7 linked regions of the Ovis aries genome follow. The protein of the gene in region 6 interacts with the protein of the main gene of each other region in a pairwise test. Links are inferred from orthologs where the notes say so. Each region holds a gene or a part of one and is shown on either strand. Other genes may lie near its edges. The genes, in order: MEOX2, FATE1, ABT1, TRAF3IP3, KASH5, EMD and TRIM42.

Region 1 (3,556 bases), on a different chromosome or scaffold from region 6:
GGACCTTTGTTGGCAAAGTAATGTCTCTGCTTTTCAATATGCTATCTAGGTTGGTCTTAACTTTCCTTCCAAGGAGTAATCGTCTTTTAATTTCATGGCTGCAGTCACCATCTGCAGTGATTTTGGAACCCCCCAAAATAAAGTCTGACACTGTTTCTACTGTTTCCCCATCTATTTCCCATGAAGTCATGGGACCAGATGCCATATATTAGGTAACTTCAATTAAGATTTTAGAAGGAAAATATATCTCTACAAAGCTGATGTGATTAACATAATATACAAACTCAGTATTAGCATTTAACAAGTATTAGTGAAAATTTTGGACAGCAAGATCAAACCAGTCAATCCTAAAGGAATTCAACCCTGAATATTCATTGGAAGGCCTGATGCTGAAGCTGAAACTCCAATACTTTGGCCACCTGATGCGAAGAACTGACTCATTGAAAAAAGACCCTGATGCTGGACAAGATTGAGGGCAGGAGGAGAAGGGGACAACAGGATGAGATGGTTGGGGGGAATCATTGACTCAGTGGACATGAGTTTGAGCAAGCTCTGGGAGATGTTGAAGGACAGGGAAGCCTGGTGTGCTGCAGTCCATGTGGTCACAGAGTCAAACACAACTGAGCAATTAAACAACAGTACCAGGGAAAATTTTTGATCTTGTTTTGAGGAAATCAGAACCACATATTTGTAATGTAAAATCAAAGTATTAAGGGAGGAGCAAAAGCATAGTTCAAAAGAAGATGGACTCACTCTGAGGTGAAATGGCCAAATAAAGCTCTGTGAGTGAAGCAGTGGACCGCGGGGGCACAGAATGGCGTGCTAGACGGAGCTTCATCAGTGGCTCCCTGAGTATATTTTAGATTGGTCCAGGGACTGACAGCAGGGGGAGGGGGCAAAGTGGGTGTTGTTTGACCAAAACAATTACTGAATGGTCGTTCTAATGCACAGAAACTCTTCATAAACTAAACACCTTTGAACAGCCTAAAATGATACAGCACTTTCCCCATCTATTCTTTTACATGGTGTGTCATAAAATGGGCTTCCCAGGTGGGCTAGTGGTAAAGACCCTGCCTGCTAGTGCAGGAGATGTAAATGATGGGGTTTTGATCACACACTTCAGTACTCTTGCCTGGAGGATCCCATGGACAGAGGAGCTTGCAGGGCTCCGGTCCTGTGGGTCACACAGAGTTGGACACGACTGAAGCTGCTTTGTTGTTCTTCAGTCACTCAGTCGTGTCCCAATCTTTGCGACCCCATAGACTGCAGCTGGCCAGGCTTCCCTGTCCTTCACCATTTCCCGGAGCTTGCTCAAACTCACATCAATTGAATCAGTGAGGCCATCCAACCATCTTGTCTTCTATTGTTCCCTTCTCCTCCTGCCTTCAGTCTTTCCAAGCATCAGGGTCTTTTGAAGTGACTTAGCAGATGTCATAAAATACAAAATACAGGACTTGGTACCTTCTGAATGTTTTAAAATTATTATGAACATAGGCCTTGATTAAATTCAATGGTGACTTATTTTCATATTCATTACTTCACAGTGTATTTGTAAAAGCTTTTGAAAAGCCTTTTTTTTCCATTTATGACCGAAATGGAAGAAAACATTTTGTCCATTTCCCTTTCTTTCTTTCACTTGTTCCCTTTCTTTGTTAAAGGTGAAAGTGTGGTTCCAGAACAGGCGAATGAAGTGGAAGAGGGTAAAAGGAGGACAGCAAGGCGCTGCCGCTCGAGAAAAGGAACTGGTCAATGTGAAAAAGGGAACACTCCTCCCTTCAGAGCTCTCGGGAATCGGTGCAGCCACCCTCCAGCAAACAGGGGACTCGCTAGCAAACGAAGACAGCCACGATAGTGACCACAGCTCTGAGCATGCACACTTATGATACAGACAGAGGGGACCAGCTCCATTCTCAGGAAAGAAATGTGGTGATGGCAAGCCTTACTCGAACATCGTTTACACAGAGAAAGGACTATGACCTTGATTTTTAATATTATTAAGTTCAGGCATCCCGAGTCTGTTTTTCATGATTTATAGAGGGTTTACACTAAGTGCCACTTAAGAAGGATGCTTCCACAGAGAAGATGGAGGTGAATATTCCAGAGGTGTTGGTCGTGTGTATGACAGTGAGCAGCCTTTGTGTTTGCTTTTGCTTGCACTGAAAATTAAATTGCTATCAAGAGCAAACTATGAAGCATTTGTATTGAAGGTGCCTCCAGAGTGAAGATGCAGAAGATGAATTGGCTTTGAACATTGCAGATGTCCGAGGTCATGGGTGTGACAGTGGGCAGGTATTTGCTCTCGCTTGCACTGACAATTACATTACTATTCAAGAATAAACCATGAACCATTTTTATCTCAAACAGCCACAGTGCCTGAAATCATTCTTAAGTGGGTTAAAAAAATGTATTTTAACTCTGTATATATTACCCTTAAGTCATTTTCCTGTCTTCACTACGTTTAGCAATGCATTCATATTAGCTGATAAAAATAGCCACTCACGATGACAAACAGAACCAGCTTCTTGTATTTTTATACATTTTGTCATCCCAGAAACAATCAGCACATGCTTACTTGTGTTCAAGTAGAGAAAAATACATTAGAGTCTGATAGGGAATATTCTTGTACCACAGACAAAACAAATCTTATGTTGCATTTTCTATCAACTGCTGCTAATACATTATTATAAAACTTACCTAGCTCCTCAATTCTTCCTATCTATAGCTTGGAAAAAAAAATTTAGGATCATAGGCAAATCAGTTACTTGCAGAAAGAGCTTTTGTATGACAGACATTGTCTGATTTTATTTCTATAAAATGTTACCTGTTGTGAATATGATTTAATTAACAAGAAAAAGGGTTTTCCCCCGATTGGTGATAATAGACAACTTGCAAAACAAAATTGATTCCTCAAGTCTGTAGAAGGTAAAATTCTGAATGTCTTCAAATTAAGTTCAGTAAAAACACATTTTTTTCATATATGATGTATTCATGCCGAACAACAATTTTTGTATTTTGTAAAAAAAAAAAATGTTAAATAAATGATCCTTTGTAAATAATCTTGGTCTTCCTACTGTGATTTCCTGTGTTTACAAGCGTTAATGTAAATACTTAAGAAAATCCCCAATTCATGTGCACTTGTGTAAAAGCAGATGATCATAATTAGTGAATCATCTACATTTTTATTTCTGAAATTTTTTATTATGAAAAAATCCTTGTGTAATAAAAAAGCATCTGAGAATAAGCATATGGTAAGCCCATTTCCCTGAATTGAAGAGTATGCCAAATAGATTTGTGTTTTATGAAATAAAAGGAGAAAAGTAATATTATTCACCACAATGAGAGAAACCAGTCATATATTTTTAAGCTTATGTATAATGGACATGAATTCATCCAATGATTGTTTTTACACAAAAATACCCAGAGTTTTTCATGTGAAAATAAGCTCCATAACCTAATCCGAATTCTCAGCCCTAGAGGAAATTACCAATGTAAGAAGTCCAGGGCTATACTGACTTAATGTGCTTGGTATCATGCGGATTGTGCATACATTGGATAC
Region 2 (4,148 bases), about 3.9 Mb from region 6:
AGGAGGAGAAGGGGACAATAGAGGATGGGATGGTTGGATGGCATCACTGACTCAATGGACATGAGTTTGGGTAACCTTCAGGAGTTGGTGATGGACAGGGAGGCCTGGCGTGCTGTGGTTCATGGGGTCACAAAGAGTCGGACACGACTGAGCGACTGAACTGAACTGAACTGAATGCAACAACATGGCCACCATTTTCTCTACAACATTCCCTCATATGGTTAGTATAATTTTAAAAATTCATTACAGAGGAACAAAATGTAACTCGGCTGATTTTCTAGAACATCAGGTCTTCCTGCCTCTCCAGTCAATTTGCCTTCCCTCTACCTCCTATAACCTTTGCAACAGTAAAACAACCATGTTTCTAAAATTGCCAGCATCTGCAGCAAAAGTAGCTTACTTATCAGATGGGCTACAAAACATGAGACTCACATGATTGCCTGGAACACTCAGGTCTCCCTCCTCTCCAAAGGTGTTGCCCTTTCCCAGTAAACGTGCAGTGGTTTAACAACTATGTTTCTAAAATTTTCTGTCACCCAAGATGAATGTAGTTAAAAGAATTGGCTACAGAAGGATGATGGGATTCATGTGATTCCCAAGAAGAGTCAGGACTTTCTCTTCTCCAAAATGACTGCCTTTTCTCAGTATCTTTTGCAACAGTATAGCCACCATTTTTTCTAGAACATTCCCTCACTCATATAGAATGTAACTTAAAGGATTGGCTACAAAATGCTCAGATTCAATTGACTGGATTTCCTAGTAGCCAGAGAGCATAGGCATTTCACTTGCCTTACCCTAGTCCCAGCCCTAAGATAGATATAGATACATGTATATCTATATTTATATATGCTTAGAGATATATATACAACCCTGTATATTCATTGGAAGGATGGTTGCTGAAGCTACAGTACTTTGGCCATCTGATGCAAAGAGCCAACTCACTGGAAAAGACCCTGATGTTGGGAAAGATTAAACGGAAAAGGAGAAGGGGGCAGCAGAGGATTAGATGGTTAGATAGCATCACTGACTCAATTGACATTTATTAGAGCAAATTCTGGGAGATAGTGGAGGAGAGGGAAGCCTGGCATGCTGCAGTCCATGGGGATTCAAAAAGTCAGACATAACTTAGAGACTAAACAGCAACTATATATATATATATATATATATATATATATATATATATATATAATGATTTTTATACTTTTGCATATTTCTATATAGAAATATATATAGAGAGTAGACATAACATATAGATATATACATATATACATATAGAGATTCAAATATAGATATATTTACTAATTTATTAATAAAAGAAAGTAGATATGTACTCCACAAGCAATGTGTGTTTCAGACATTCTGGACCCTCAAGGTTGAACTAACAAAGAATGGCCATGATCTCTTGCCAGACCTTGTTGCCCTCATTTGCCTGCCCAGAACACAGGAGCTTTGTCCTTCCCCCAAAGTCAACATCTGCCCTGCTTGACCTACCATCTCCATACCAGAGCTGCTACAACTGTAGCAAACTCCCCCAAACTCAAGCTAGCCACCAAATGCCATACAGTACCACCTTCTTGGACTGGTTTGCAGCCATATTCCAAACCGCAGCAGAGCCAACAGCCTTTGGATCCACCTTCTGTCGCCGCTGAGAAGCACCCAGCAACCGAGATATATGCTCCTTCATTTCTAGGGAGAAGAACAGAGGCCCAAGGAATACCCATAGAGGCTATCCCAAGGTTTCATGGGCACAGAACACACCAAAAAATAGGATAGGGTCCCCCAACATCTTAGGAAGCACTCAACACCCATTCTCTGGCATCTACTGGCTAATCTCAGGTCTCAATTTCTTCATGTACTCAAAATATAGTAAGTGTTTACTGAGTGTCAAGCTCTGGGCTAGGTTCTTAAAGAGCAAGCAATGGCCAAGAAATAAGATCACAGCAATAAAAAATTGATTGTTTGTGTGTGTACAGAGAAAGTGGTAACGAGAGTGGGGGTTATAGGAAATAATCCATCAGTGCAAATCAAGAGATGCATGCTCCCAAAACAATAAAAACAGGATAACAAGACAGAAGGAAGGGGATACTTCTAGAAAAGTCAGAGACAACACTGAGGCAGAGACCTGAAAGAGAAAGAGTCCAGCCATAGAAAATCTGAGGAAAGAGGGAACACATAGTGAAAAGGCTGTGAAGAAGAAAGAGTCTTGGGATGTTACAGGACAGGCTTAAAGGCACTGTGGACTGAGTCAGCATGCCACAGCAGGAAGTATATTGAGGAGGTGACCTTATGTGGATCTTGTAGATCATGGAAAGGAGCTTTACTCTAAAGGGCAGAAGAAGGTACTGGAAGGTTAGGAGAGAGAATTGCTTTGAATGATCTTATAAATTGAACCCACTGAGTGTTTTGCATTAAGATCCACTGGTGGCTTGCAATGGGAGGGGTGTTCATCCAACCTTCCCCGTCACACGCTACAAAAGGCTCACTTTTATCAATCCCATTACCTCACACACAGGTACCCACAAATACATGCAAACACACATTCATGCTTCTGCCAAGCCAAACCTGCGCATTTTCTAACATGCATGCACAGGTGTAGATACCCAAGGGAAGGGACATTACGGGGGATCCTCACCTGCTGCCACTGAGCGCTCTTGGTTATCCCTAAAGCTTCCAAGAAGCAGGTCTTCATCCTTTGGCACTTGCATCTTTTCCTTGAGGTTAGGGACTGCTCCTCCTGCCATCACCACCAATTGTAAGCAATGGCCAAGAAGGCACAGGGTCCAAGGCTCGGAGGAGGCTTGGGAAATCAGCTCTCTGCGGAAGATATATCTGGACACAGGGGTGGAGCCAGACTCCCACTTTGAGTTCAAGCATTAGACCCAGCACCTCCTGTTCCTGCTGTATCTTGCTGGCTGGGTTCAAGGTCTTCTTCTCTGCTACTCTGTAAGCAACTTAGGAGAAGCGATAGACTCTGAATCTTTGCCTGGGAAAGCTGCCCTGGCTCTCAGCTCATCCGATTTGACCTCATTTCTAGATAGAGGGAGGGGCTGGCACAGGACTCCAGAGTTGGTCAGTGGCCAAAGCAGGTTTAGATCCCACCGTGGTTTCTGCAAGGCCAGCTTTGGTTAACAGTCCAGGCCATAGCCCCCTTCAGAAAGCATCCTCTACAGAGCACATCCTGCCTTACCCCATCCAGAATTCCCAGGCAAGGGACATGACTTTTGACACCCTGGATCATCCTGGACAGGAACCATGAAAACCAAAGGAGAGATGTGCAGAAGAGGGGCCTGCTTACTGGAGCCTCCAGTGTCCCCAGCCCTGCACCCCCTATTCTAAGTCAAATTTTCCCTCAGCTTCCCTACTGAATAGACCTCAGTGGTCATGTTTATGGTCCATGTGGCTAGCCTAAGGTCTCCAGTTATTCCATCACGTGCTGGTCTAGATGTTTCTATCAAGGCACTTTTTGTAGCTGTTGATGTCTATAATCAGTGGACTTTAAGTAAAGGACATTGTGTATCCTTGATACTGTGAATGGGCCTCATTCAATCAGCTGTAGGCCTTAAGAACAAAGACTGAGGTTTCCCAGAGAAGAAATTCTGCTCAAGACTACACCTCAACCCCTCCCTAACATTCCAACCTGCTGACTTGTCCTGCAAATTTTGGCCTTGCTAGCTCTATGATGGCATGAGCCAAATTCTTTAAATAAAATTTTCTTTACACACACATATATGCATAGTGAGTCAGTGGTAAAAAAAAATCCACCTGCCAGTTCAGGAAACCCAGATTTGATCCCTGGGTTGAGAAGATCCCTTGGAGAATGGAATGGCAACCCACTCCAGTATTCTTGTCTGGGAAATCCCATGGCCAGAGGAGCCTGGTGGGCTACAGTCCATGGGGTTGCAAAGAGTCAGATATGACTCAGTGAGTGAGTGCAACAATACATATACATACACATACATACCTCCTATTGGTTCCATTTCTCTGGAGAACTCTGACTCATACAGCCACCGAAGGTGAACCCTCAGCTCTTGGGAATAGCCTCAGAGCTCCTGAGGAAGAGGAGGCTATTTGTAAAGAAACCAAGCACAATTGGGGCCAGGTGGGAGGGAGAGGAGGACAGGGGGAGGGGGAGGAGAGGAAGGGAGGAA
Region 3 (3,500 bases), on a different chromosome or scaffold from region 6:
GAATCACAATTATAGTTACTGGGAAATTCATTTCCTTCCACTCATTATTTTCATCTTTTCACTCCACTTGTGACTTACCCACCCATAGGTGTGAGCTCTACATGCAGAACTGTTTAAACTTGAGACTGAAACGGTGACTTTGAATATCCTATATATAACATCAATCTGGAAACACAAGTTCATTCATTCAAAAAATTAAGCCCTACATGTGTTTTACTGTTAGTAACTTAAGTTTCTTCATCTTGGTATTCTCTATGTATGAGAAACGACAACAGATACTCAGAACTTTGAATAAATGAATATGACAGCTTGTCAGAGTCTGAAACTGGATCTTCATGATTCACGTGGAAGACATCATGAAGAGTCCACATGGAATAGGCCCACATGAAATGAACACAGATGTTTTTGTGTGCTGAGTTTTGAGGATTGTGAAAAATGTTACACCCAACAGATCATAATTCATTTCTCTCCTCCCAAATAAACTTCACTTATCAAATTGAGATCTTAACAAAACTTGGTTATTTAGAGCCAAAGTAGGTGAATCCACTTGACCCAAAGAACACAATGATAATTATATTGATGACAGTTAAGCAGAAAGAACAAAAAGAACTTAAGACAATAAAGGGTGCAAGCGAAACTCAAATGACTTACTATTATTGCTCTAACACTTCCTGTAAGTTTAAAAGCCAGAGTTTTACTCTATTATGAGGCTGTGTGTAGATTTTTTCAGTTTTTTGTTGACATCTCAGTTTTCAGTTCCCCTCAGTGGCTTACACGCATTCTATCACCTTCAGAGCTGCTTTGTATGTTGTGAACATTCCCTTGTCTAAGCGTAGATAAAATGTATAAATGCACCAGAAGGACATCATGTGTGCACAACTACCTCCTAAGCTTTGCCCACCTTTACAACGGTCTGAACCCAACACGTCATCTATGGAGTTTTGTTTGCAATTACAGGAGTATATCAGGCTCTTTCAGACTTTGGTTCACTTCTTAGGATGTTACTTACTTTCCCGGATAGAATCAATCAGGCCTTCCCATGGCTTCACTCTACCTCTTATATACATCTGGCATGATGCCCATAGTACTTCTATACATTTATTTCTTAAACATCTGTCTTTTTTAGCAGTCTATAAGACTTACACCAAGGGCCATGTGTCCTCATATAGTGACTTAGTAAATGTTGAATTAAATAAGTGTTAACAGCATGGCCTAAGAAACTGATTAGATGGAAAACTATCCAGGTTAAAACAGAGGGAGGTATCCTGTGTCCAGGAGACGGATCAAAGGTGGGTGAATTCTGTCCAACACACAGAAGTTGGAACTTATCCAATGACCATCTCCACCCCCCCACGCCATAAACTACAAAGGCATGTTTAAAAATATATATTTACATATATCTTTTTCTATTCTATAAATATATTTTGAAGGTGACTCCCAAGCCACTCTAGCCCATTAACCCCTGTCCCTATTAATCTTTTCTAAATAAAAAGGATGTTGCTGCTGCCCAATAATGTGGTTGGTAAACAGCTGTCTGGACTAGCCATTATCACTCTAATTCAAGGTAAAGGCCGTTCCTAGGGCCAGAAAGAAGGACTTTTAAAGGGTCCCAGGGCGCAGAAGGCAGGAAGCCAAGAACTGAACAAGGTAAAACAGACATGAGCAGACTAGCATAATTATGCTAGTAAGAACTAAGTGCCTCAGCCAGGCATGTACAGGAGCTGGGAGGAGGAAGACGAGAGGCCTTGTTACAAAACTTTTGAGGAACTCACCAGACTCCTGGTTTGAGAAACACAATAGAATGTCCGCCTGGGTAGTCATTATAAGGTAGAAGGGACGCTGGGCTGGGCTAGGAGGTGGAAGGGGCCTCTCTGACCCTCAAGAGTTCCTGACCGGTGAGGAGTCCCCCCTGTTCTCTGAGGGTGTAGGGGCTCCAAAGATCTTGGCAAGAAGCCCTCGGTTGGAGCGGGCCTGGTCCTGAGCGTTAGCCAGGCGAGCTCGTTCACGTCCCCCTGGCCGAGCTGCCTTCCGGGCCCTTAGCTCCTGCTCAGTAGGACGCTGGGCAAAGGCCCAGGAACCATTCGGGCGGGTAGAGTCCCCATCAGCCGCAAGAAAACGCTGTCCGCGCTCCACACTTCGAAGATAGAAGTCAGTCTCACGCTTGGCCTGGGCAACCTCAGCCCTCAGACGCTGCCTGCGCACCTGGCGCTCAAAAGCAAGATGCTCGCTGAGGTGAGACCAGGTAAAACGGTGCAGGTACTGTGGACAGGAAAACAAGAAAAGATCTGAGTAGGGCAGATCAGAGATGGGGAGTTGATGGAAGGGATGGGCGCCAAAAAGATGACAGGGGTGCCTGGGCTGTGGCCACGAAGGCGAGACGGTGCATGGTGCGGCAGACAAGCCAATCTCCTCACCTTGAGGTTCCACAGGTCATAACGGAAGGGGCTGCGCCTGCGAGAGCCCATGGGTGTGTTGTGAAGACTGGCCGCCACACGCTTGGCTACTCGCTTGTCCCGGAACTCCACCCAGCCCTCCGTGTAGTCCTTGCTGTACTTGGACCGCTTTTTCCCTCCGGCGGTGGAGGCAGCTGCTGCCTTCTTCTTGCGCCTCACGAACCCGTCTGGAGTTCAAGACAAAGTAGTGGTCAAAGAGGCCCATACAGCATCCACTCAACAGCACCTCCCACTCACCAATTCTCCAGACCTCCCTGCAGGCCAGGATCCCACCTTGTCTTTACCCAGAGGTGGCTAACTGCATAGTCCACACTTTACCCCTCAACTAAACTCAACCTTTTCCTCAAATGTTAATTCTTTTATCATTACATCTGCCCTAATCGTTCTATTCAAAACCTGCACAGGCCCCCAACCCCAATTAGTGACTGACTGAATGGGAGTTGGGCGGGGCCTATTATATACTGTCTCTGGACCTGGGCCTCGACATGACAGAGATACGTTCAGTTTTGTGGAAAAGTCACTGAGATTTTAATTCAGGCAGTACTCATTTAACAAACTTGTAAATTCGCCTCAAGAAAGTAGGGTGGGAGGAGCCGAGATTAGAATCCAAAAATTAGCGAAGAATTTAGGCTCAGCTAGATATACAAAGCTACCCACACTCCGTTTCAGCCTTCTAAGAAACGTGCGCGTCACCTACTTACCAAAGAAAACAGACACAGGTCCCCGGCTCCGTCAGCGCCTCCAAGCTCAGCTGAGGCAACAAAACACGCACTGTGTATTCAGTGCCAACGAGTACCACCCCTCTTCCCTCACCATCAAGGCCTGAGCACTTACCCTCAGCCTGGAAAAAAACACGCCCGACCTCCCCGTAGGCGCTGAGAAGGTTCCGTACGTGTAAAGGCCTAAAGCGGGGCGGGATGTGGCCCAGGTACACAATGCCCGGCACTACCCGTTTCTTGCTGCCACCAGCCGCCTCTTCAGATTCCTCCTGTTCCTCCTCTGCCTCCAGTTTCTGGTCACTCCCTTCCAGAGGCCCCGGCTCCGCGG
Region 4 (3,267 bases), on a different chromosome or scaffold from region 6:
TTTATTGAAATGTTCAGTACAGATGTATGTTTTCAGAGGGAATAGAAATCCTTTCCATAGTTTATATACCTCTCAGGATAGGAGGTTAACTAGCTAAAGTGTTCTCAGAGCCAATGAGGAGTCAGTCCTTAAAGTGCTCCTTTAGCTCCCTGACCTAAGAGTCCCCGACACAGGGTCATATAGTCCATCCCTCTGCCTCTAGGAGGGCAAGGAAAGAGCAATATCTTAGAATTTGTGGAAAGAAGTTTGCTGACCTTTCTTTATTAAGAGTTTCTGCTGTTTTTGAAGCTGTAAGGATTGATTCTGAAGCAGACCTGTTGGAAAACACAAGGAACTTGTCTGTGCTAGCGCATTTACTGCAGAGTGTCTTCTTAGAACTTTGCTGAGACCTTAATTATTCTGTTCCCATCTGTAGTTGAATTGTGTCACTCCCCCCCACCCCAAATTCTTATGTTGAAACCCTGATTTCCAGTACTTCAGAATGTGACCCTATTTGGAGATAGGTTCTTTTAATCAAGTTAAAATAGGACATTAGAGTCCTATTTTAATATTGACTAGTGTCCTTACAAGAAGGGGAAATTTGGACACAGATGCGGATGGATGGAAGACGTGAAGAGATGGAGAAGGTGTCCATTTCCATCTTCTTGGATGGAGAAGAAGGCCATTTCCTTCTCCAAGCCAAGGAAAGCAGTCTAGAATGGATCCTTCCCCCAGAGCCCTCAGAAGAAACCAACCCTGCCCGCTTCCTTGATCTGAGACTTCCAGCCTCTGGAGCTATGAGAAAACCAATGTCTGTTCTTTAAGTCACCCAGCTTGTGGTGCTTTGTTACGAACACACCCTCCTTATATCTCTTCCTACCATGTACCTTTAAATCTCTGTGTAAATGTTACCGTAGAAGAAGGACATTCCCAGTTGACCCTGTGTGAAATAGCAACTGTTTCTCTTTAACCTGCTGTGCGTTTTCCTCTATAGCAGTTGTTAATACCTGACACCTGTTTGTCCATAGAAACTCCATACCGCACTGTAGTGTTTGTTTAGAATGTAAGCTTCGTTAGGGAGGAAACCATGCCAGTTCTGTTCATTACCGTATCCTCAGAGTGTGTCTCTGTGCCTGGGACTTGGTAGGGGCTCAGTAAATAAGCGCTGAATAAATAAAGGCATGATTTTGAAGTGACTTGCCCATTCAGCCCCGACTGTGTGGGAGCCCAGCTTTTGCTGGTGTCCTCCCTCCCTGACCCCTGAGGCTGCCTGGCTCTTCTTATACTCATTGCTCTCTGCATGAAACTTCTCTGTCGGGGGTGTCAGAGGTTAAGGTGGGAGGCAACCAGCAGAGCTGTGCATTGTTTCAGGTTCTCTGGCTTTTCAGAAATTGCCAGCTTTTCTTTGGAAACACCCCTTTTCCTCTTTGGCCTCGACATGTAATTGGGAAGCAGACTGAGCTTATTTTCTGAACCATTCCCAGTGGCAGAGGTCTGTGTGACAAATGTACATAATAAATTAGAATATATAAAATAAGAAGGACCTTAGAAAACTCTGAAATCTGCAATTCTGGGGGAAATGCAGGTGGTGGTTGTGGGCAAGGAGGAGAAAAGTAGAAACAAACGAAAAATGCCAGAGGCTAATGTGGAACTTGGGAAGAACTGTCTGTGACCTCACTGCCCAGGAAGAGGGTCTGGACAAGCAGAGGTAGAGGATATGCCAAGGACTGGGCTTCCCGTCGCTTCTCTGGATGCCTTTTGTGGGGCAGGAGCCCCAGGAATGCCAAAAAGCCACCTGCGCTACTTTGAGAATCTGGAAAGGGACTTACTCTGCAGCTGCTGTACTTTGGTCACCAGGGCGAGTTTCTCCTCCTCTGACCTCTTTAGTTGATCTGAGAATCAAACAAAACAAACCAAAATAGAAGAACCTAAGACCTAAAGAGCTCACCCCTGAGGCTGGAAATTAGTAACAGATGCTGTTTAGCCCATGGCCTCTGACCAGTGTCAAGTGGAAGTTGCTCTTTCTTCTGCTTGTCCCAGTTCTGAAGAGGTAAACCAGAACCCTGCTGCCGTGGATTTCATCTGGATTGACAGTGGGCTGAGTTACGGGTTGTTTGTGTATATAGGGTTTTCTAAGTGGCCCATTGGTAGAGAATCTGCCTGTCAGTGCAGGAGATACAAGAGATGCCAACTCGATCTCTGGTCAGGAACATTCCTAGTATTGTTCGGAACAATACCGGAGTAGGAAACAGCAACCTGCTCCAGTATTCTTTTCCAGCCCCTCTGCCCTGCTGCAGTATTCTTGCCTGGAGAATCCCATGGACAGAGGAGCCTGGTGGGCCATAGTCCATGGGGTTGCAAAAGACTCAGATACGAATGAGTAACCCAGCACAGCACAGCAGCATGTGTGGGTAATTTGGTCCCCTCTCAGCTGACAGGGGCCGTTGACTGGGAAACTTCTATGCTTGGTGTTTTTGCTGACCTTTCCCTTTAAATTAGGAATGCCGTCTTGGCACGTGACTGCTATGGGAGTAACTGTGCTCTGGCTTAGACGGATAGGCTGGATCTTTTCTGTCTTGGTCTTGGATGATTAAAACAACCCTGCCTTTTTCTCAGAGTAAAATGAAATCACCAAGTCAACCAAACAAACAAATGAAAGACTGATCCTTTTCCAGCCAAGCCCCCTTCTTCTGGGCCCCCAGAGGCCTCCAAAGCCTCCAGGGGGATGGGTACCTTGTAGGTGCTGGGTGTCCGAGCTGCACAGGTCTCTGTCCTCCTGCAGGCATTCAATCCTGGCCTGCAGCTCTTGGTGCTCACTCTCCAGAAGTCGTAGGGCCTGGTTCATCTGTGAGTCTCTGCTGTCTGCTCCCTGGTGGGAGGAGGAGGGGCAGACAGGCAGGTCAGCGCTAGCTAGGGTGGAGGCAGCGGGCAGATCCCAAGGAGGAAGAAAACTGGGGAGATTGTAGAGTAACAGAGACGGAGTCTGAGGGAAGTGGAAAAAATAGGAAGAGTTTTAAAATTCTTCAGTGTGCTCTATTCCTCATGCTTAACAACCAATAAGGGATGAGATTTTTGATATTCACAAGGGATTCCTTTGGATAAATGCCCACATTCAGGAATACCGAATCATCGCTTTTCTAGACAACTTCACTTTGTCTTTACTTCTCATTCTCACGCTATCGATTTTTTCAAGGCGGAGTGGGTAGGCTCATTTTTCACAAAGAATTAAGGCTGAAAAGGAAACGGACTTCGTGAGAGTTTCCTTGTAGGTGATTTGAGGAAGAGAAC
Region 5 (3,500 bases), on a different chromosome or scaffold from region 6:
GATATGAGGGTGCCTGGGGGTCCGTGGGGCAGCACCGGGAAGGGTTTGGTGCCTGGACCAAGGACTGGGACAGGGATGAGGTTAAGAACCGAGGTGGTCCTGGGAGGACTGGAGTGGGGTGAGAGTCAGGGCGGGGTCAGAGTTGCCGCTGGCGGTGGCTTAGGGTGTTCTGGGGGTGTCAGGCCCACCTGCTGAATGGCCTGGATCTCCACACCCAGCGACGGCGGCAGCAGGTTGGTGCAGTCCGCTCTCCTCACCTGGGCCCCTTCGGATAACCTGGCCACACAGTCAGGAGGGGGAAGGCTGCCTCCATGCCCAACCACCTGTCAGCCAGCCTATGCTGAGGCTACTGCCCTGCCCACCTTGGGGCTGGACGCCACGGTGGGGGCTCCCTGTCCTTGGGCTCCCCTCCTGCTTCCTCCTCCCCCGTCGTTCTACTCACTCATCCAGCCCCTCCTGGGTCTGACTCAGCTGCTCCTCCAGGTGGGAGATTTCCAGCCTCAGTTCCTGCAAAGGAAGGATTGAGGGACCCCTGGCTCTGCCTTTTCCCCAGCCCCATGTCTGGGCTCCTCTTCCAAGGCCAGGTCCACTCCTTTGACTTCTTTGGGATCCTCCATACACATACAGACAAGGAGAGAAGGGGAAGAAACAGTAGCAGAAACTTAAGAAGCCAACGAGAGGTAAAGAGCAACAGGAACCCAGAATGTAACCTATCGGTCAGGAAAACTAAGAAAAGGAAAGCAGAGATGGAAACATATGGGAAAATGAGAGACACACATAGGGGACAGGGAGGCCTGGCGTGCTGCGATTCGTGGGGTCGCAAAGAGTCAGACGTGACTGAGCGACTGAACTGAACAGCCCTATCACACACAGATGGGGAGCAAGAGACTGTGAAGACAAGGGACAGAGAGAGGAGTAACCCCAGGAGACAGAGAACTGACCCAGAGAGCGGCAGAGACTGAAACCAGCCAGGCAGGGACACAGAAACAGGGGCAGGGCAGACACTGTGAGAAATCACCCACAGAGAATCAAAGTGGGTGGGAGATGGAGATACAGAGAGAGGAAGGACAGAGGAAAAGTGAAAACGCAGAGAGAGAGGGAGGGGGAGAGACGCACACAGTCAAGCAGCAGTGATGGTAGAAACAAGAGGTGGAGACTCGGAAAAAGATCATCAGACATAGGAGGAGGCAGGACACACCCCAGAGATGGCAAAACAGAAGCAGGGCCTGTGGCCGGGCCAGGGGGTTACCTGGGTTGTGGCTCTGTACTCCTCCAAGGTCTTGGTCAGGCTCTCCGCGTGGCGAGTGCGCTGGGAAAGCCCAAAGCTGATTGAGGCCGGGCTCAACCCACCAAAAACTCTGAGGTCTGGTCGCAGGGGAAGGGGGGTCGGATGGGTGTGATGGGCTGGGGGCAGAGCAAGACCTGAAGAGAGCATCAGCTTCCCTGGAAACCCTCTGACCTCTCTGGGCTGAGTCTCCAAGGATTAGAGTCTAGTATGCGTGCATGGCTAAGTCACTTCAGTCATGTGGACCGTAGCCCGCCAGGCTCCTCTGTCCATGGGATTCTCCAGGCAAGAATACTGGAGTGGGCTACCATGTGCTCCTCTACAGGATCTTCCCAACCCAGGGACTGAACCCGCGTCTCTTACGTCTCCTGTATCGGCAGGCGGGATCTTTACCACTAGTGCCACCTGGGAGGCCCTAGAGCCAAGGAGGATTTTCCTTTGTAGACTTGGGGCAGGAGACACATCGAAGGCACATTTCCCTCCAGCCCACTCACCTCGGAGAGGATGGCGTCTCGCTGGCAAATGAGGTGTTCACACTCGTAGAGCTGCCGCTGCCAAAGAAGGAGCCCGTCCATCTGTCTGGCCTGCCCTCCCCGGCCTATCCCGCTCTCTATAGCTCCTCTCCTCAACCTCCCTTCACATCTCTGGACGTCAGCTACCCCGAGGGGGACTTCAGTGAGTTGCCCACTGGCCCTGGGGACCTCAGAGCTTGAGTCAAACCCCTGATCTCACCAGACCAAAGGGGCTGAAACTGATGAGGCTAAAAACGGGCCTCAGGGAGGTAGGAAATCGTCAAGGCACTAGGGAGGGGTGCCACCTTCAAGATGTCCTTCTCCGAGGCCAGCTCCTCACTCCTCCTCTTCACTCCATCCCGCTCGGCCAGGAGCTTCCCATTCTGGAAGAAGGGACCCTGGTCACGATCACGTCAGCAAATGGCCATGTTAATACTCAGAGAAGACATGTGCTGAGCACCTGATGTGCATCAGGCCTCATGCTGGGCACCCTTTCTCTTTTTCCTGAGCCTTTCAGATGCGGCTTTAATTATCCTTCAATGGCAGCCTTTCTAAGACTTTTTTTTTTCACTTTTTATTTTGTTTTGTATTTAATTGTATAGCCAATTAACAACACTGGGACAGTTTCAGGTGAACAGTGAAGGTGAACAGCCATATACATGCATCCATTCTCTCCCAAACTCCACTCCCATCCAGGCTGCCACATAACATTGAGCAGGGTCCCATGTGCTATACAGTAGATCCTTGTTGGTTATCCATTTTAAATATAGCAGTGTGTACATATCCATCCCAAACTCCCTAACTATCTCTTCCTCTATCCGTCCCCCTATTCCCCGTGCTCAGCACTTCCTGATGTTTCAGCCCACTTAATCCCTCCAACAATCCTATAGGATCTCAGCTCTGATTTGCAGATGAAAAAATAAAAACGGCTGCAAAAATGGAGCTATGATGGGATGCATGTGAGGATTAAATGAACTAATAATTACTGCTAACATTTACGGGGCACCTTGCCAGTGTTAACTTACTTCTGTGCCCTCTTTTAAAGATAAAGATGGGAGTTCCCTGGTGGTCTAGTGGTTAGGATTTGGTGCTTCCACTACAGTGGCTTGGGTTCCTGGTACAGGAACTGAGATCCTGCAAGCTGCGAGGTGTGGCCAAAATAGATAAAATAAGATAAAAATAACTGACTCACAGAAAGACTGAGCAACTTTGCCCAGGGTATATAGATGGGAATTCATGCAAATACATGTTTAATATGTTAATGAATACAAACACATTTAGAACAATGCCTGGCATATACCAAAATTTGGTGTTATATCAAAAAGATATTTCTAACACTTTGTATTACGAATTTTTAACCCACAAAAGTAAAGCTAATGGTGTGGTGAACCCAGAAATTCCCCAGTGGTCCAGTGGTTAAGACTGCACTTTCACTGCAAAGGCCTGGGGTTCAGCCCCTGGTTAGGGAACTAAGATCCCACAAGCTGCTCGACTCAGCCAAAAAAAATCATGAACCCCCATTATTTGTCACCCAGTTTCAGTAATTACATACATTCTTCCTGTTTGTTTCTTCTCTATGCACAGAGTTTGCTTTGCTTAACCAGATTATTTTAAAGCAAACCCCAGGCTTATTATTTCACCTGTAACTGCTCCAGCATTTGTATTTGCTACCTGAAGACTTTTCCTTTAGAAAGGACCACAAT
Region 6 (4,280 bases):
AGAGCCCAAATGCCATCTCCCTCCCTGCTCAGAGATAAGCAGCAAGACCCTTGCCCTGCCTGGGGGCGCTGCCCCTCATCCGACCATGCATGCGTGGGGCCCTCATATTTTGGGAGATGGAGAAAGCCTCATTTCTAAAACCTGGCCAACAGCAACCTTGAGGAGGGGCTTCGTATGTGGTTAAACCAGGGCCCTATCTTCTCTCCACCCCATGAAGGAACTTTTGCTGAGACCGAGGCTGTGACCCTCACCAACTGGGCCAGTCTGCCAGCCTTCATCTCAGTTCCGGGAGAGGCACTTAAGTTTCCCCTCATTCCATTGGCTGGCTTTGTTAGAATGTCACTGTCATCTTCTTCCTAATTTTCATGGGACAGCTCTTCCTGACCAAGGCTCTCACCAACTCCCTGTGACAGGCCCTGGCTGCCTTCCATGGTTTGCCCCCCTCAGTCCCCTGGCCCCCCTGTCTGGGAGGCTCCCTCTGCACTCCCACGACCCTGAAGCCCACTGAGACCCAGGTGCTCAGAGTGCATTATCGGAAGCCTGGGGCAGGTCCCTCTGGCAGCCTCCTGGGTCACGCTGGGCTCAGGGGCCATCCCAGCCACGGTGGGGAAGCCCCTCGCGCCTCTGGTGCACTGCCGGTGGGTGAGGCAGACACCCGCCATCTCGGCATCACAGGGCGCCCCATGCCAGTGCCCATTGGCATGCCCGGGCCCCTTCCAAGGCTGCTGGCTCCTGGAGGGCCGGTGGCCTCCTGGCCCAGTGCCCCATTTCCTCTGGGGTGCAAGGGGAGGGAGGGAGGCGGTGGGAACCGGCGGGCGCAGGCCAGGATCCTGCAGAGCGGGAAGGCGTGCTGGGGCAGGGGGTCTGGGGCTCTGGGGGGCGGTTTATGGTCAGGTGGCTACAGGCTTCCTTGGTGTGGCGCGCGCGCGCACTGCGCGTGCAGCAGCGCCTAGTCTGGACCCGTGCTCTCCAAGGGCTTGCCCCTTCGGATCAGGCCCCTTCTCGCAGCCGCCGGCGACGCGCCCGCCTGGGGCGCGGCCAGGGACCCGCAATTGCTGGAGCAGAGGGGCAGTTGAGACCGAGCGGACTCCACGTGACTCAGGGAGGGCGAGCCCCGCCCAGCGCGCAGCCCCGCCCAGCTCCCGCATCCTGCCCAGTTTCTGCCGGTTGCATGGCCACAGGCCCCGCCCCTCCACCCTTCTGACCCAAATAGCCGAGCGGGTGACGTCGCGGCTCGCGGGCCCCGCCCCGCTCCCAAGCCGGGGCGGGTCTAAGCTAGTTCCCGTCGCGCCCAGGCCCCGCCCCCTCGCTGGGGTCCAGCCCTAAATGCGCCAGCGTGTGACGTCTCTGGGCTCGGGAGCCCCGCCCCTCCCCGCCCATTCGCGAGGCTCCACCAATCTGCGCTGGCAGCTCTCTGCGAGGCCCGGCCCCGCTCCGCACAGCGCGCGCTGCCCGCGGAGACCGAGACTGTGACGCGGGCGTGACGCGCGCGTAGCCGCTCCCGAGGCACTCCTGTTTCCCCTGCCGCGCTCCGAGGCCATCGTCTCTCGGCCGGTGTTGCAAGGCCCAGGCCTCCCCCAGGCCTCCGCCGCCCGCTGCCCGCCATGGACGACTACGCAGTCCTCTCGGACTCCGAGCTGGCCGCCGTGCTGCGCCAGTACAACATCCCACACGGGCCCGTCGTCGGTACGCGGTGGACGGAGGGCGGGCCCGCTCCCCGCGCTTAGCCCCGCGGCCCCCTCTCGGCCCGCTCCCTGACCGCCCTGTGCCCCGCGTCTGATCAGGTTCCACTCGCAAGCTCTACGAAAAGAAAATCTTCGAGTATGAGACCCAGAGGCGGAGGCTCTCGCCCCCGAGCTCGTCCGCATCCTCTTTCTCCTATCGGTTCTCGGGTGAGGCTCCCGTCCCAGGGCCCCGCCTGGCCGCCCTTGGGGACACGGTTTGGGGGACGCTGAGGAAGGGGTCGCGGGGGTGTGGCCAGGGCACTGGCTGGAAGGGGCGCGGGGGAAACGGGAGGGGACCCCTGTGGGCCAATGGTCCTAGCCCCTCCCCCATTCAGACTTAGATTCGGCGTCCGTGGACTCGGATATGTATGATCTGCCCAAGAAAGAGGACGCCTTACTTTACCAGAGCAAGGGTAAGGCAGGGGTGGGGTGGGCACTCTGACACCTTCCTTCCAGTGTCAGCCAGAACCTGAGACCTCAACCCCATGCGTCCTGCAGTAGCCCTGCAGCACCCCCCCCCCCAATGGGATTCAGATTAGGGCCATCGGGCCAGGTGGGGACACCGTTGCCCCTTCTGCTACCGCTGCCCCCCCCTTCCTAAGGCTATAATGATGACTACTATGAGGAGAGTTACTTGACCACCAGGACTTACGGGGAGCCTGAGTCTATGGGCACATCCAAGGGCTTCCGCCAGCCCTCAGCTTCACTCTCAGATGCTGACCCCTTTCACCGCCAGGTGAGCTGAGTTGTCGGGCACCCTGTACTTGGGTACAACCTGAGGGGGTCCTCATGGGGTTTGGATGAGTCAAGGGAACCACTGGGCACAAATGGTGGCTCAGAAACCTCCAGGGAGAGGTGGGGCCTGCAGACACCTGCCTGGTCAAGACCTTTGGGGTGGGGGAAGGGGCTGTCAGAACTGTTTTGACTAGTGTGCCCAGGACGTGCCCTGGCTCTGGTCTGGGATCTAGGTTTGAGCTCTTTTTGAGAATTCTGGGGCAGAAAGTAGGATGCAGGCAGCCGGGACAAGTGGCACGGCCCTGCAGACATAAGGCTGAGGACCAAGAAGGGGGTCTGGAGGGTGGCAGGGCCCAGGCCTTTAATCAGTGTTCAGAACAGGCTGGGAAGGGCAGTTTGGACTGAGGGTATGACCTGTCATACCTACACCGACCCTGTCAATAGGTATTCTCATTCTGATTCACTTCTGTAGGTCCGTGATGACAATCTTTTCTCTTTGGAAGAGGAAGGCAAGGATCGGTGAGTATTAAGGCGAGCCAGGGGCTGGGGCTGATTCAGGACTCAAGCCCTCCTGGTCTACCTACTGCACTCTTTGCCTCAGGGAACGCCTCCTGTATGGCCGGGACAGTGCCTACCAGAACATTGCACACTACCGCCCTATTTCCAACATCTCCAGAAGCTCCCTGGGCCTGTCCTATTATCCCACATCCTCCTCCACCTCGAGTGTGTCCTCATCTTCATCTTCGGCCCCTTCGTGGCTCACCCGCAGAGCCATCCGGCCTGAAAAGCAGGCCCCTGGGGCTGCCGGCCTGAGCCAGGATCGCCAGGTCCCGCTCTGGGGCCAGGTGCTGCTGTTCCTGGTCTTTGCTGCCTTCCTGCTCTTTGTTTACTACTCCATGCAGGCCGAGGATGGCAACCCTTTCTGGGCAGAGCCCTAAGGGTCTGACCTCGTACCTTGGAGGCCGGCTCCTCTTGGAAGCCCTGGCTGACTGCCTTATCAGTGTTTGTTGGGGGAGGGGGGTTGGGGCTTTTCTGTGTGTTCTAGCTTGGGGTTACCAGGACATGGGCAATGTTTGCTGACCCCTGCCCTGTCCTGCCAGGGAGGCAGCAGGCCTGGGCCCTCTGCGGCATGGTGGACCTGGGTGGGCCTGCCTCTGGATCCTCCTGGCCCTGCTTGCCTGTCACCCTTCGGGCCTAGGAGGGCAAGACCCTTCTCCTGGAGAGGAGAACATGGTTTTGGTCATCGCATGCCTCCTATTTGTCGTCACCTCATGGGGGGATTAACCAAAGGCCACCCTGAGTTTGTTTTCGTGGACACAATAAAAGACCATTTATTTTTAATGTGTGGGTTCTTTTCTTTAACATGGGGAGGGGTTGGGCTGCCCCCCTGCTAAAGGCTTCCAGGCCTTGGGTCTCCAGAATTGCCATCCAACTTTGTCAGTTCATCCTTTCGTCCTTTGAGCCTGAGATAGGGATCATAGGCAACCCATAAACTCATTTATGTTTTGCTTTTGGTGCCCGCTCCCTGACATGTTACCAGAAGCTCTTGTAAGTGCTTATAAAAAATAGTCACACAGAGAGCCCACTGGGAAACGCAGGTGAGGCTGCTTGCACCGTGTCAGTTCTGGGTGTTTCAACTGGGACCAGCAGACACCAACTGTGGTGTCCAAGGGCAGAGTGATGGGAAGGAAATGAGGCATCTGCTTGATGGGCTGCTGGAAGGCTGGTTGTCTAATGACAGGGGAAGGCTCTCAGTCCTCTGGAATGTTTCATCTCCTTTTAGTAAACCAGTTCCTCACCTGGGTATTACCACAAGGTTTT
Region 7 (3,500 bases), on a different chromosome or scaffold from region 6:
CAGTCGTTCCCATCCAGAGCTACTACTACTACTACTACTAAGTCGCTTCAGTCGTGTCCGACTCCGTGCGACCCCATAGACGGCAGCCCATCAGGCTCCACCATTCCTGGGATTCTCCAGGCAAGAACACTGGAGTGGGTTGCCATTTCCTTCTCTGATGCATGAAAGTGAAAAGTGAAAGGGAAGTCGCTCAGTCATGTCCGACTCCTAGTAACCCCATGGACTGCAGCCCACCAGGCTCCTCCATCCATGGGATTTTCCAGGCAAGAGTACTGGAGTGGGGTGCCATTGTCTTCTCCCATTCAGAAGCTAGATCTTGCCAACCTCTCAAGTGGTCTGAGTTGCATGGAGATGAGAACTAATGCAGTCCCTGATGCAGTGTCACGTACATTGCAGGTGTTGCTGATCTAGCATCACTTGGAAGTGCAGCTTCAGCTGCTTAGTTGTGGGTACCTGCTATGTGAAGGGCAGAGATACATTTGCTGTGTCTGACAGCCCATGGGAGGATAGGTTCTGTATGTTCTACCTTGCAACATAAGGTCATTCTTGGAGTCAATTATAAATGCCAAAACATAGATTAAGATGTTTCAGGAGAATAAAAAGGTAAGGCTTGGTCAGTGTCTCCCTTTAATTTTCTTGTTTCTAGATCCTTTGATACTGAAGTGTGGTCTGCTAATTGGCAGCAATGCCAACATCTGGAAGTCTGTTAGAAGTGCAGAATCTCAGGCCCCGCTGAGACCCACTGAAGCAGACTCTGTATTTAACAAGATTCCCGGGTGCACGTTAAGGTTTGAGAACCACTAGTTTAGGCTTCAAGGACGTTAAGTGTCTTTGTGAGTGCTCAGATCATGAGGACAGAAGGTGGATTCTGCTACATGGAAGCAAGTCATGGGTTGGCTTGGGAATTGTCCCTCTAGTGGTCCCAAGAGGAGGCAAGATATGCTCTCATAGAATACATTTTTTTCCTTCCTGGATGCTAATAGAACATTATATAAACTATTCAATTTAGATTCAATCAGCTAGATTTGAAAGGAATGTTAAGAGATGGGCTATTTGTTCTGTTCATGTTAGGCCAAGAAGGTCAAGGAAGAGTCATATCCCTTGACGCTGAGTGATGGCAGTTGTAGAGGTCTGTGAGAGATACATACCCTCCCCTCACTAAAAGCTGAATCTCAGGAGATAAGAACTGGAATTCCACTGGGGATTACCTTCTAATCTTTCCAAATCATGAAGAGTCTAGATATTTTCTTTAGAAAAAGTAGCAATTTAGAGGAATCACAGCTGATAGATCACGGAGGCTGCTTTTCTAATTCCAATTTCTGTTCTCTTTCTACTGTTACAGGCTTTCCTTTGGGAAATATTATTCTCTTCAAGCAGTCTCTTCAAATTACTTTGGTTCCAAAATTGCAGTCTCTTTCAATAGAGAAGCTGCCTTTGAAGTGGAATTGGGGCTTTCAGATGCATTTCTGGCTATGAGTTAAATATATGTTTGGTTTAAGCCAATCTCGGGCTCTTAAGATTTCAGGAACTTATCCCTTTTGAATGGGCCAACCACACAGAGTCCAGAGGAACAGATCTGAGTGACCAGATCCTAGTGGTCAATGAACTAAGTGCAAACTTTCCCGACTACCCACCTCCATGCCATAGCTCACACCCTCCCATCTTTCCTACAGGGCCCAGAGCCTTTCTTACCTTGGCAGCTCTTGGATACACCAGAGTCTGGTAGATAACAATTGGGCCTGGAGTCTTCACAGAGCTATCGTTGAATGAGTACCAGTTGTGGAAGCTATTGCTATTCTGCACAGGCTGGTTTTCTACCCCGGTGCTCCAGTAGGTGTAGAGGCCGTCTGTGGGCTTGGCAGGTGCAGCTGACTGGGCTCGCCCATAGGCTTCCAGACCTATCTTGGTTTTCTCACAGGCAGGGGCATTGAAGGACAATAAGGAGGAGCTTCGCTGGTATATCTGCTGGTTATTGAAGCTGTGGGTGCTGAAAGTGACCTTCCTGGCGATCATCATTTCTGACTGCAGGGGGTAGGAGGACGGCAGGGAGTCCCCAGAGGAACACACCTTCTTGGGTCCTGTGGGGAAGAGCTCGTGAATGGCACTGGAGAGCTCAGCAAAGTCCAAGGGCATGCAGTTCAAGGAGTGTAGCCGGAGCTGTGGGTCGGGCCTATAAGTGCTCTGGATGCCATCCTCGATCTGGTCCACCAGGATCTTGGCTGACTGCAGGAATGCCACTTGGCCTGTCTCCTTGAGCGCCTCCTTGGAGTAGGCAATCAGGCCATCCATTTCGTTCACCTTCATGGTAGTGACGTACACATACTTTTCAATTTCCTTTTGCCTGGACACCTCCAGATTCTCTATCTGCTCCATGATGGTTTTCTCTTTCTCCTGGAGAATGCTGCGCAGCTTGAGAAATCCATTTCTGATCTCTTTCCGCTTTACCTCCTTGTCAGCTTTAAAGCTGTTTTTTAAAATATTGAATTCCATGAGGTCATTATCAATTTCATAGCGGACTGCAAAACAATCAAGTTAGTTACTTCAGTTAAAATTTTCAGTTCCCCAGATATCAAAGCCAGTGGCAAACTGGAGCATATTAACTTGGGCTCCAAAGAAGTGGGTGGAAAGGGAGGAAAACCACTTGTTGCTGGGCTTAAAGATGCTAGCATAGGTTTGTAAAGTGACTCTGGCCCCTCTCCACACACCCTTCTCTTCCTCTTTGTCTAATATTTCCTTTAGGTATGACAGCCAGCCTTCCCTGGCATACTTCTATCTAATAATTCTTACAGCCTTGGGTCTAAAGGTGGAAGTTCAAGGCCACCCTTGATATTAGTTTTCACTCAACTTTACCTGTTAGCAAGTTGGACGTGAGAAGAGGTGATGTCACAAAGTGATGGATTTTCCCTATGTGAAAGCCTAAGCTTTTGCAGGGGTGGGAGAAGAAATAAATTTCTGATGACTACTTCTAAATATTGCTTTGTCTCGTTCACCAAAACCCAGCCCTAGACAATAGTGGCAAACCAGCAAAGTTCCCCTTCACTGTGGCTTCTCTGACATGTCCTTTTCCTTTGCCGGGGGCTTTGACTCCCTTGGGTTCAGCTGGACTCCCTGTCTTGCCTACCCCACTTCCCACTTCCTTTCCAGAAAGGGTCTGCTGTTACAAGTCAAGGAAAACCAAGTTCATCCTGCAGCCTTGACATGGCATTTGGATTTTAAGTCCTCTCAACCATTCAACAACCATTTATGGGACACCTATTCCACATCATATACTTTTCTAAGCTCTAGGGATACAGATATGAGTATGAGAGGCCACTGATGCTCTAGGAATGCACAAACCCAATGATACTGCAGTGGGGAGGATGCCAGGGCAGGGTGAGCATGTGGCCCACCTCTGTCTGTGAAATGGCAACTTCATTGTCTTTACAGGGTTTTAGGCGTTAGACAACAATTTGAATACAGGTCAGCCTTCTGTGGCCTATTCTAGAGGTAAGGTCCTCTCC

The links.
Region 1: the proteins of EMD (region 6) and MEOX2 interact in binary tests that used the Homo sapiens proteins (3 or more experiments, as listed by UniProt). The two-hybrid records come from large-scale screens. The link is inferred for Ovis aries from reciprocal best matches to the Homo sapiens genes EMD and MEOX2.
Region 2: the proteins of EMD (region 6) and FATE1 interact in binary tests that used the Homo sapiens proteins (3 or more experiments, as listed by UniProt). The two-hybrid records come from large-scale screens. The link is inferred for Ovis aries from reciprocal best matches to the Homo sapiens genes EMD and FATE1.
Region 3: the proteins of EMD (region 6) and ABT1 interact in binary tests that used the Homo sapiens proteins (3 or more experiments, as listed by UniProt). The two-hybrid records come from large-scale screens. The link is inferred for Ovis aries from reciprocal best matches to the Homo sapiens genes EMD and ABT1.
Region 4: the proteins of EMD (region 6) and TRAF3IP3 interact in binary tests that used the Homo sapiens proteins (3 or more experiments, as listed by UniProt). The two-hybrid records come from large-scale screens. The link is inferred for Ovis aries from reciprocal best matches to the Homo sapiens genes EMD and TRAF3IP3.
Region 5: the proteins of EMD (region 6) and KASH5 interact in binary tests that used the Homo sapiens proteins (3 or more experiments, as listed by UniProt). The two-hybrid records come from large-scale screens. The link is inferred for Ovis aries from reciprocal best matches to the Homo sapiens genes EMD and KASH5.
Region 7: the proteins of EMD (region 6) and TRIM42 interact in binary tests that used the Homo sapiens proteins (3 or more experiments, as listed by UniProt). The two-hybrid records come from large-scale screens. The link is inferred for Ovis aries from reciprocal best matches to the Homo sapiens genes EMD and TRIM42.

The regions. Positions count from the first base shown.
Region 1 is NC_056057.1:24,985,256-24,988,811, reverse strand, and holds the end of MEOX2 (homeobox protein MOX-2), read left to right. Parts: intron 1-1,658; coding exon 1,659-1,883; 3' UTR 1,884-3,056; downstream 3,057-3,556. UniProt on the Homo sapiens protein: Mesodermal transcription factor that plays a key role in somitogenesis and somitogenesis and limb muscle differentiation. Required during limb development for normal appendicular muscle formation and for the normal regulation of myogenic genes.
Region 2 is NC_056080.1:84,015,895-84,020,042, forward strand, and holds the start of FATE1 (fetal and adult testis-expressed transcript protein), read right to left. Parts: upstream 2,801-4,148; 5' UTR 2,742-2,800; coding exon 2,633-2,741; intron 1,687-2,632; coding exon 1,571-1,686; intron 1-1,570. UniProt on the Homo sapiens protein: Involved in the regulation of endoplasmic reticulum (ER)-mitochondria coupling. Negatively regulates the ER-mitochondria distance and Ca(2+) transfer from ER to mitochondria possibly implicating it in the regulation of apoptosis.
Region 3 is NC_056073.1:30,516,891-30,520,390, forward strand, and holds part of ABT1 (activator of basal transcription 1), read right to left. Parts: coding exon 3,288-3,500; intron 2,621-3,287; coding exon 2,415-2,620; intron 2,260-2,414; coding exon 1,879-2,259; 3' UTR 1-1,878.
Region 4 is NC_056065.1:72,984,267-72,987,533, forward strand, and holds part of TRAF3IP3 (TRAF3-interacting JNK-activating modulator), read right to left. Parts: intron 2,963-3,267; coding exon 2,713-2,962; intron 1,872-2,712; coding exon 1,809-1,871; intron 1,499-1,808; exon of another isoform or gene 315-1,498; coding exon 255-314; exon of another isoform or gene 1-254. UniProt on the Homo sapiens protein: Adapter protein that plays essential roles in both innate and adaptive immunity. Plays a crucial role in the regulation of thymocyte development.
Region 5 is NC_056067.1:55,605,061-55,608,560, reverse strand, and holds part of KASH5 (protein KASH5), read right to left. Parts: intron 2,181-3,500; coding exon 2,103-2,180; intron 1,837-2,102; coding exon 1,780-1,836; intron 1,310-1,779; coding exon 1,250-1,309; intron 508-1,249; coding exon 443-507; intron 277-442; coding exon 189-276; intron 1-188. UniProt on the Homo sapiens protein: As a component of the LINC (LInker of Nucleoskeleton and Cytoskeleton) complex, involved in the connection between the nuclear lamina and the cytoskeleton.
Region 6 is NC_056080.1:80,070,509-80,074,788, reverse strand, and holds EMD (emerin), read left to right. Parts: upstream 1-1,480; 5' UTR 1,481-1,604; coding exon 1,605-1,686; intron 1,687-1,784; coding exon 1,785-1,892; intron 1,893-2,059; coding exon 2,060-2,137; intron 2,138-2,326; coding exon 2,327-2,460; intron 2,461-2,931; coding exon 2,932-2,978; intron 2,979-3,060; coding exon 3,061-3,397; 3' UTR 3,398-3,800; downstream 3,801-4,280. UniProt on the Homo sapiens protein: Stabilizes and promotes the formation of a nuclear actin cortical network. Stimulates actin polymerization in vitro by binding and stabilizing the pointed end of growing filaments. Inhibits beta-catenin activity by preventing its accumulation in the nucleus.
Region 7 is NC_056054.1:248,855,709-248,859,208, forward strand, and holds part of TRIM42 (tripartite motif-containing protein 42), read right to left. Parts: intron 2,517-3,500; coding exon 1,693-2,516; intron 1-1,692.